Linked DNA regions of Mus musculus. The protein of the gene in region 1 binds, or shares a complex with, the protein of each later gene. Links are inferred from orthologs where the notes say so. Each region holds a gene or a part of one and is shown on either strand. Other genes may lie near its edges.

Region 1 (4,110 bases):
CCCCGTGCTCTTTATTCCAATTCCTTTTCCCTCCAGAAGGTTCTGCACGGCCCACAAGTCTTAAGAAAACCCGCAACGTGTCAAAGCCCGCGGCCACAGCGCCGTTCCCGGATCTGGAGGAGCACCTTCAGGTGGCTCGGTGGTGCGCTCCCGGGAAGAGGCCCCCGGGCGCCTCATTCCTCCTCCCCGTGATCTCAGGCGGTGCACACACGTGAAACCGTGGACTCGCGCCCTTGCCTCCGTCGGCCCTTCAGCCCGCCAACAGCCGGCCTAGCCTCCGCCCCCCTCCGGGAGCCGCGGGACCGGGGAAGCCCGGCCATGACCCTCCGCCCGGGCTTCGCGCGCGTCTCTTCCCCGCAGCGCTCTCCCTGTCCATCGACCCACGCCCCTCTCCTGGGCCCCGGCCGCCGGGGTCCCCCCCACACCCCCGCCAGCTGCCCTTCCTCACCCTTTCATCTTCCCCGTCTGCTGAGGCCGTCGTTACAGCCGCCGCCAACGCCGTCGTCCTCGTCGCCCGGAGCTCTCCGCCCGCGCCCTGAGCTCAGACCACTCAACCCCACACGCCGGTCTTTTGGCTGAGAAGCCAAGCCAGGCCCTGAGGCTCCGGGAGACGCGGGGAAATCTGCCGCCGCGCTGCCGCCGCCGCCGCTCCTCCACACGTGCACTCGGGACACTCGGCTCCCGCCCGCAGCTGCCGCCAGCCAGACCCGCCGCCGCGCTGTGACCTTTCACCCCGCCCCTCAACGCGCCGGCGCGGCCGCCGCGTCGCGCGCAGGCGCAGTGCTCCGCGCCGCCAGGATTCCCCGCCCCCCGCTCTCCAGGGGCCGGGCCTACGGCCCGCTAGCTCCTCCCACCCTTTGCGACACTCTCTAGGGGATCTGGCTTGGTAGGCTCCGGCGGCAAAATCCGGATCTTTCCACCCTTCTCTCGCTTTCAAGCCAGCAGGATCAGCCTTTCCCGCCCCCCACCCCGATTCCTTTCTAGCCCTCCAGTGACCTTCAAACCCTCTGGCCGACTAATAGGGTTTTGTAAAACGGATTCTTCTCAATGTAAGAAAGCCCATGGGAACTTGCAGTAAATGTGTTTTAAATTCAAAAGGTAGTGATGGGTCCGGATAACTTGGCGATCCTCCAGCAGGCAAACCTCACAGGGTTTTTTTTTTTTTAAATCACGTGATAGGCTTAACGTCTTCCAGCCCAGGATTTTACTGGGGCCTTAGAGGCGGGACTCATGGCCATTTCCGGTCCCTAGAGCGTGACTTAGCGTCACTTCCTTAGCAATGCACTTTAACCCTTGCCATCCTCGTCTTCTGTACTGTAGTTTCTGTAACCCCCGTCATTGTAAAAAAAAAAAGAAAAAGAAAAGAAAAAGAAACTAACGCTTTTCTGAAGTCGCGGAACCATTCACATCCAAGGCGGTCCGCAAAGATTTAAGCCTGCGAGACGCGGCGTGACGGGCGAGGGGAAGCGGGGTGGGGCTTGAGGACACATGACTAGCTAGGACTGGCCCGCCTCCTGCAGCTGAAGACTTCCCCTCTCTCAGTGACAGAGCCTCTGGGTCCCGTCTAGGTACACTTTCTGCATTTCGAGCCCGGGCAGGTGAGGTGCGACAGGTAACTCGTGGCTGGTGGGGACGATTGACAGGGTGAGAGCAGATAGGGTGTGTGAATCGCGGCCTGCGGATGCTTGGGGCTCCCTTTCCGTTGTCCTCCTGCACGGGCGAGGAGCTCATTTCTGCTAGACCCCTGGCCCTTCACCATCACCGTGGTCCATTGACTAGGGATTATGATGCCCACCTTTTCCCTGGGTTGAGAGCGAGTACGGCCATTATGGTTCCCTATTTGGAGCCTTTGGGGCTGATTCAGGTGGTAGGATTGTGTTAGCTATTTCTTGGGGGTCTGCAACAACCGACGGATCCCATTCCCCTAAACTCCTTCCTTGGGAAAGGCCATGGCCCGGGTGATCCGGATGGTAGGAAAACCCCGGGAGGCAGAGGCGTCTCCGGTGAGACAGGCTTGGGAGGGGATGTCACTGAGATGGCCCTCACTGCAGAGTCACACTGAAGGGCTTTCCCCACAAATGTGCGTTCTCAGTGATCCTAAGGGTTTGCCGACATCCTTGCAGAGGTTCAGGGAGTCTTCAGATGAGACTGGAAGGGTAAGAGCGGGCCTTACACCTTTTTTTTCGGAGAGAAGGTGGTTGTACTCTCCTCAGAACAGGGTGTTGGTAATGCGACAGTCTCGGTTGGTTGGGAAGGTGATGAAAGGTGGTGTTGCCTTGTTGGGCTGGAGACCCAGACTAGCTTATGGGAAAGTGACGAGGTTTTCCCGAAGGGGAAGTAATTTTACGGAAACTGATCAGGCTGAAAACATCATTAATCCAAATCCATGTGTGTATAGTTTAAAGACTAGAAGATCGAGTCTAGACATTACTGACTTCATGTTTTCTGCCTGTGGGTCATTCCTTTTTGACATTTCTTTTAAGTCCTACATAATTGCCCTTCCCAGTCAGTTTAAAATTTGTGAAGTAATGCTTGTGCTCTTAATTCGCTTTTGCATTTGTTAAAAAATTCAAGTGACCCTTCTCAGACTTGAGAGTGCATAATATTTTGTGAAAATACAGAAATGGTTTTGCCTAGGGTTACCCAACCCTTTGTACTCCATTTTATGTGCACCGTAGTAGCCAATGTTTAAACCTCAAACAATGTACTTGACTGAAGGAATGTTCTTCAGTTTGGGGCTAAACTCTTTTATTTGTGCTACAAACTTAGAACGTTCCTTGTTTTGAAGCCGAAGGCCTTACAAAATCACAGATTTGACTTTTATAACCCAAATGATACATTTTCTTAGGGGAAATAAGATTTTCAGTTAAATCTTAGTTCTCTGCAATGTAATTGAGGAATCTGTTTTAAACTCTGCTGGGGGCTCGGGGATATGGTTCTTGCTTCCATGTAAGCTTGGTGTACTGGGTCCAACCCTCATACTAGAAAGAAAAAAAAATAGGAAAAAGATGGAATGATTATCTTACATTGATTGGTGCTCCCCCCCCCCCCTTTCCAGATTTTCTTATTTTTGAGAGCTAAAAGCTAAAACCTTAAACTCATAACGATTTAACAAGATAAAAAGACTGGCCTAAGCCAGTCGTAGTGGTGCATGCCTTTAATCCCAGCACTCGGGAGGCAGAGGCAGGCGGATTTCTGAGTTCGAGGCCAGCCTGGTCTACAAAGTGAGTTTCTGGACAGCCAGAGCTATATAGAGAAACCCTGTCTCAAAAAACCAAAACAAACAAACAAACAAAAAACAAAAAAGAAAGACTGGCCTATTTGATACTTTTTACTACAATATTGCCCAAGTGATTTTGCATTGCCCACATTACCGTTTGTGCTTGTGATCCAGACTAGACAATAGGAATTGATCTGTTTATATAACAAGCATAAATATAGATTCTTAAAGAGTTCATTCTTTTCATTGCTAATCATTATTCTGTGGTATGGATGGCACCACAGTTGGTTGAACCATTCACTTGTTGACACAAACCTTTTTGTTTGTGTCTGTGTTCCTGCACTTAGAGGCCAGAGGTGCCTTCCTCTGTTGCTCTCCTCACCTCAACCCCCCTTCTTTTGAGGTAGGTTCTCTCACTGAACCTGGACTCACTGATTCTGGGAGCCTAGCTGTCCATTAAACCCCAGGGATCCTTCTGTCTTTTGCCCTGAGCACCCAGGTTAAAGGGACAGTACTACACTTCTACAGAGCACTGGGTAGCTGAACTCAGATTTTCATACTTGCGAAACATGCAGTTTCACGACTGAGTCATCTCCTCAGCTTGAAATATAATTTTATCCATCGTTTTTCTCTAAAGTGAGGTTCTCTGATCTCTCCGGAGAGAAAAAAATTTGGCTCTGCTTTCACGCCCATGTGACATTCCACCAAATAAACAGAATTCCTAAGTGTTTTAAAAGTCCAGACCAGTTCTGTGCAGGTGCGCCAAACTGGGCTAGAGGAAACCAGTTTGAAAGCACTGAGAATTTGTGGAGGAGAAAGAAGTTCATAAGAAAGAGGCTCAATGAGTCTGCAGTTTTACTTCACAGTTAATTGCTCCATTTTAGGGAACT
Region 2 (4,014 bases), on another chromosome or scaffold:
ACACTTAACTCTAAAGTTTTACGCTTTCAGCGTCCATAATTACAAAACTCCAGTTTTATTTTCGCAGTTACCCAAACAGGGCAAATAACTTCAACAGCTGATTTTAAATTCCAGGAATTCACTCATACAGAAATGCACAGCTAGAGCGAAAACTTAACGACCTCAACACTAATAGTTCCATTTTGGACTTTTTTTTAACTTAAATATGGTGGTTTATCCTATTGTTTCTTTGGCGAAAAGTTCAGTCTCCACAGAGAGAAAAGTTTTGGCAGTATCTTGGGGCTGAAAAGAAGGATAAAAGAAAGAAAAAAAAAAAAAGCCCAAATTCTCCGGTCCGGTAAAAGCAATCGTCTTGAACTAGGAGTGGGACTGGAGTCGAGGGTTCTCCAGAGGCCTCCCCACCACAAGACATCTTTAAGGAGGCTGTAAAAATCTACTTGGCCCACGTTCCTTCAGGGGTTCCTCCGCCCGTCCAGCCACGTTTCTGGCTCGCAGGAGCAGACACCGGCTGGCGAGAGGGCGCAGGAAATCACCAGCGGGCGGTGGCGACGGGGTCCAGACACTTCCCGCGCAAGAACGGGAAAGGGGGGGTAGCCCGGGGCCTAGCCGCACTGGACAAAACCAAGGCGAATCCTCGGGGAGAGCAAGCTGCGGGGCCGGTCACCTGAAGTGGATGTGTGAATCCCGAAGTAGGGTCCCACGCCGTGCTGCTTAGTGGCAACGAGGAGACTCGGAACACCAACCCCGGACGCCGAAGCTCCTCAGCGTGCGCTTCGCCCAACCCAGCGCGCATGCGGAGCCACCTCTCACTGCGCAGGCGCCGACAGAAAAGGATCCTTCGTTGCCACTAACCATAGAGTCTTGGTCCTCCTAATATGGGCGGTGTGAACCAAGGGACGAGCTGAAGAGTCACTGCCCCTGGTATTTATAGATTTTTTTGCGGAGGGAACTTGCTAGGTTTAAAGGAGAGGTAAGTTTCTGTTTCTTGCTCCAGGATGATCGCTTTAAGTTTTAGTCAACCAAGAGAGGGCGCTGTGACGAATGGCGGAAAGCCGAGGAAGAGGAGGAGCGTGATCCTCTCCTGACCCATCCCTCAGAGCGTGCTGGGTGCCGGCGACTCGCCGGAGGGAGGGGCGGTGGAGAGACCCGGAATTCCGGACTGTGCGCGCTTCCACATCCGGGCATTCCGTCTCCTCCCCCTCCCTCAGTCCTCGCCCAACAGGAACCGGAAGTGGGAACCGGTTTCCTGGTTGCCTCTTAGCAACGCAGTTGTCAAGTGACCCGGTCAGCTGACTCCCGTGGAGGCGGGCACTGGGGTAACCGGTTCTGGAGGTGTTGCGGTCCCGATTGTCTCGCCGGGGGGCCCGAGCCGAGTCACCGTCAGGATGTCGGGCAAAGACCGGATTGAAATCTTCCCTTCGCGAATGTAAGTTAAAGACTAGGACAAGCGACAACCGTGTTCAGGCACATCTTCCCGGCGCGCATTCCTGCGTACCCTTGGCCACCAGCAAGGTTCCTTGGTTTCTGGGTCGCTCCTTGAGCTTTCCCCAGGGTCTTCGTTTCCTCTGAGTTCCGAGCGAGGTTTCTTTCCAACGCTCCCCTCCCCTGCTGTTTCTGAGAGAAGAGGCCGGAGAAAGTGGTTCCAGTCCACAGGAAAAGGGGGTTCACCTGCTGGCAGCTTTTGGAGGTCGATGCCTTTACTCACTCATTCCGCACACCCTTTGAGCCACACACGGAGTTTACATAACTGAGCCGTCGGCGCCATCTCTACCTCCCAGGGCTCATCATTGCTGAGGATTGAGATGTAGACGCTGAGGTCTGACCAAAGCTCCCAGACGGGAAGTTATGTGACAGGGAAGCAGCTAGAAGGCCCCTCAGCCAAAGTGACATTGAATGTGTCACCCTCTCGCAGCTGTAGGTTTCAGTCTTGGATCCCGTCAAGTGTTATTTGCTGTGGGAAGATATCCCTGCATTTCTGAGGTATTCCTATAGCCCTGTGATGACTGCACTCTTTACGTCTAGCAAGTGTCACTCATGACACTGTCACGCGGGTATTTATTTGGGCTGTCTCCTGGATGAAGGAGGCATCTTTTTAATGCATAGAAGGTCCACAGAAAATTGTTCCTTGAACCCTTGCTTGGGATGTGCTCAGTTACAGGCCGCCTTTCTGCTTTGGGTTAACATCCTTGTTAGGAGAAGTGATGAAGTGAAAACTTGAAGTTTTCTCAAATACATATAATAACTTGTGGAAAGAAAAGGGTATTTGTGCTCTCATCTTCAATTGTTCCTGAAGAAGGAAATCAGTTTTTATTCTGATAATTAGGTCTCTCACTGTGGTCCTGTTTTGGGGCCTGTTTAGGGTTTTGCGTGTGTGTGTGTGTGTGTGTGTGTGTGTGTGTGTGTGTGTGTGAGAGAGAGAGAGAGAGAGAGACAGACTGTATTGTTTACCTTATCCTATGCCTTTTTACTTATAGACCCAAGGACTCTTAAATAGTTTCATTTAAACCACAGAATGAGTTTCTGTCTCTGCCAGGGTATATGTAGCTCTGAGTGAATGAAAGGGTTTAATTATTTAAAAACAAAACAAAACACTTTTAACCTTCTCCCCAATGGCTTTGAAATGGCAAGTTATACTAACTGTACAAACCTGCCAGCTGTGGGGAAGTGCAGTGCTCGTGAAACAGCTAAAGATCAGGACGACCCTAGGGTGATCCCAAAGCCAGCATGTAATGGCCCCATCCAAACTTTACTGAGACATCCGATTCCAGGGTGGCTTCTGGAAACACAAGGACATATCCTAGGATGACCACAGTTCTCCTCCCCACTCCCCAGCCACTAGCCCCAACTGTAATGCCACTGAGTAATATCTCAGAGGCAGAGCTCTTGCCTGGCATACAAAAGGCCCTGGGTTGAATCCCCAGCACCTAAAAGTAGAAATAACCATGCCTGCCTCAAACAAACAAAACTCAAAGCCCATAGGAGAACTAAATACTGGTTTTAGCTGACATCTGATTGATAGATCCTAGACCTCTCTTTGAAAGAAAAAGGGTTTTTAATTGAATATATAGTTTATCTAACTCATAAATGTGTCAGGGATCTGAGAGAACCCTTCTTCGTAAGGTAATCAACCAGGACAGGGTCTCTGTGTCTCTGTGGGAGGCTAGAATCCTGACTTCTGTTCCTGTCAGAGAGCAGGCACAGTTGACACAGCCACAGGTGGACTTTCCCTTTTCTGAGCCTGCCTGAGTGCAACTCATGCTCTTTAAAGTGCCCAGGCACACCTGTGTGAGCCAGAATGGCGCTCACCTTTTTGCTTTGCTGCTAGTGGTCTTACTGTTATAAATAATGTCTGGCCATATTTAATCACTATTTGTAATGCTGGTATGTTTTTATTTTTATTTTGGGACTTTTAATTTAAGACTACAAGGTGAAAAATGGGCTTCTTTGGGCTCAGACAGGAGAAATGATAGGTTTTTTTTGGGGGGGGGGTTGGGTTTTTTGAGACAGGGTTTTTCTGTATAGCCCTGGCTGTCCTGGAACTCACTCTGTAGACCAGGCTGGCCTCGAACTCAGAAATCCGCCTGCCTCCACCTCCCAAGTGCTGGGATTAAAGGCGTGCGCCACCACGCCCGGCTCGAAACGATAGGTTTGTGATCCTGAAAACTGTTATTTGAGAGCACTCTGCTTGCTAGCTGAGAGGAAGTCAGGGGTGGGAAGTAAATATTTTCCCCAAAGCCTGACAGCAGGTTCTTTGTCATATAGTCAGATGTCTTTGATTCAACGGGAGACAAAGTCAATGTTTTAGTTGAAGGTCAAACTTCTTGTTTCTTTGTTTTTTTTTTTTTTGTTTTTTGTTTTTTTTTTTAGGGCTAAGCAGCTTTGAAACAGAAAAGAGCAGGTTCAACAGCTGCCGTGGTCCAGATCACACAGTACTGGTTTTGGTTTCTCCTTCATTCGCTTGGTAGTATTGTCCTGTGGAATGTTGCTTTCATTTCATGTATCACCAGAGAACAT

The links. Proteins that work in one complex are often made in the same cells at the same time.
Region 2: the proteins of Atp6v1a (region 1) and Atp6v1d are in contact, whole or in part, in a cryo-EM structure (PDB 9B8P), measured with the Rattus norvegicus proteins. The link is inferred for Mus musculus from reciprocal best matches to the Homo sapiens genes ATP6V1A and ATP6V1D. Residues at the interface, in NP_001101788.1 of Rattus norvegicus: Ala366, Met368, Pro369, Ala370, Asp371, Ser372, Asp416, Ser418, Asp436, Lys438, Glu491, Gln494, Leu495, Val496; in NP_955418.1 of Rattus norvegicus: Lys4, Asp5, Arg6, Arg167, Ala171, Val175, Ile176, Arg179, Tyr186, Glu190, Arg194, Glu197, Tyr200, Arg201, Lys204, Ile205, Lys208.

What each region holds. Positions count from the first base shown.
Region 1 is NC_000082.6:44,136,450-44,140,559, reverse strand, and holds the start of Atp6v1a (V-type proton ATPase catalytic subunit A), read left to right. Parts: upstream 1-1,300; 5' UTR 1,301-1,598; exon of another isoform or gene 1,599-1,612; intron 1,613-4,110. Other genes in the region: Naa50 (N-alpha-acetyltransferase 50), read right to left, coding at 449-456. UniProt on the Homo sapiens protein: Catalytic subunit of the V1 complex of vacuolar(H+)-ATPase (V-ATPase), a multisubunit enzyme composed of a peripheral complex (V1) that hydrolyzes ATP and a membrane integral complex (V0) that translocates protons.
Region 2 is NC_000078.6:78,858,831-78,862,844, reverse strand, and holds the start of Atp6v1d (V-type proton ATPase subunit D), read left to right. Parts: upstream 1-1,206; 5' UTR 1,207-1,385; coding exon 1,386-1,426; intron 1,427-4,014. UniProt on the Homo sapiens protein: Subunit of the V1 complex of vacuolar(H+)-ATPase (V-ATPase), a multisubunit enzyme composed of a peripheral complex (V1) that hydrolyzes ATP and a membrane integral complex (V0) that translocates protons.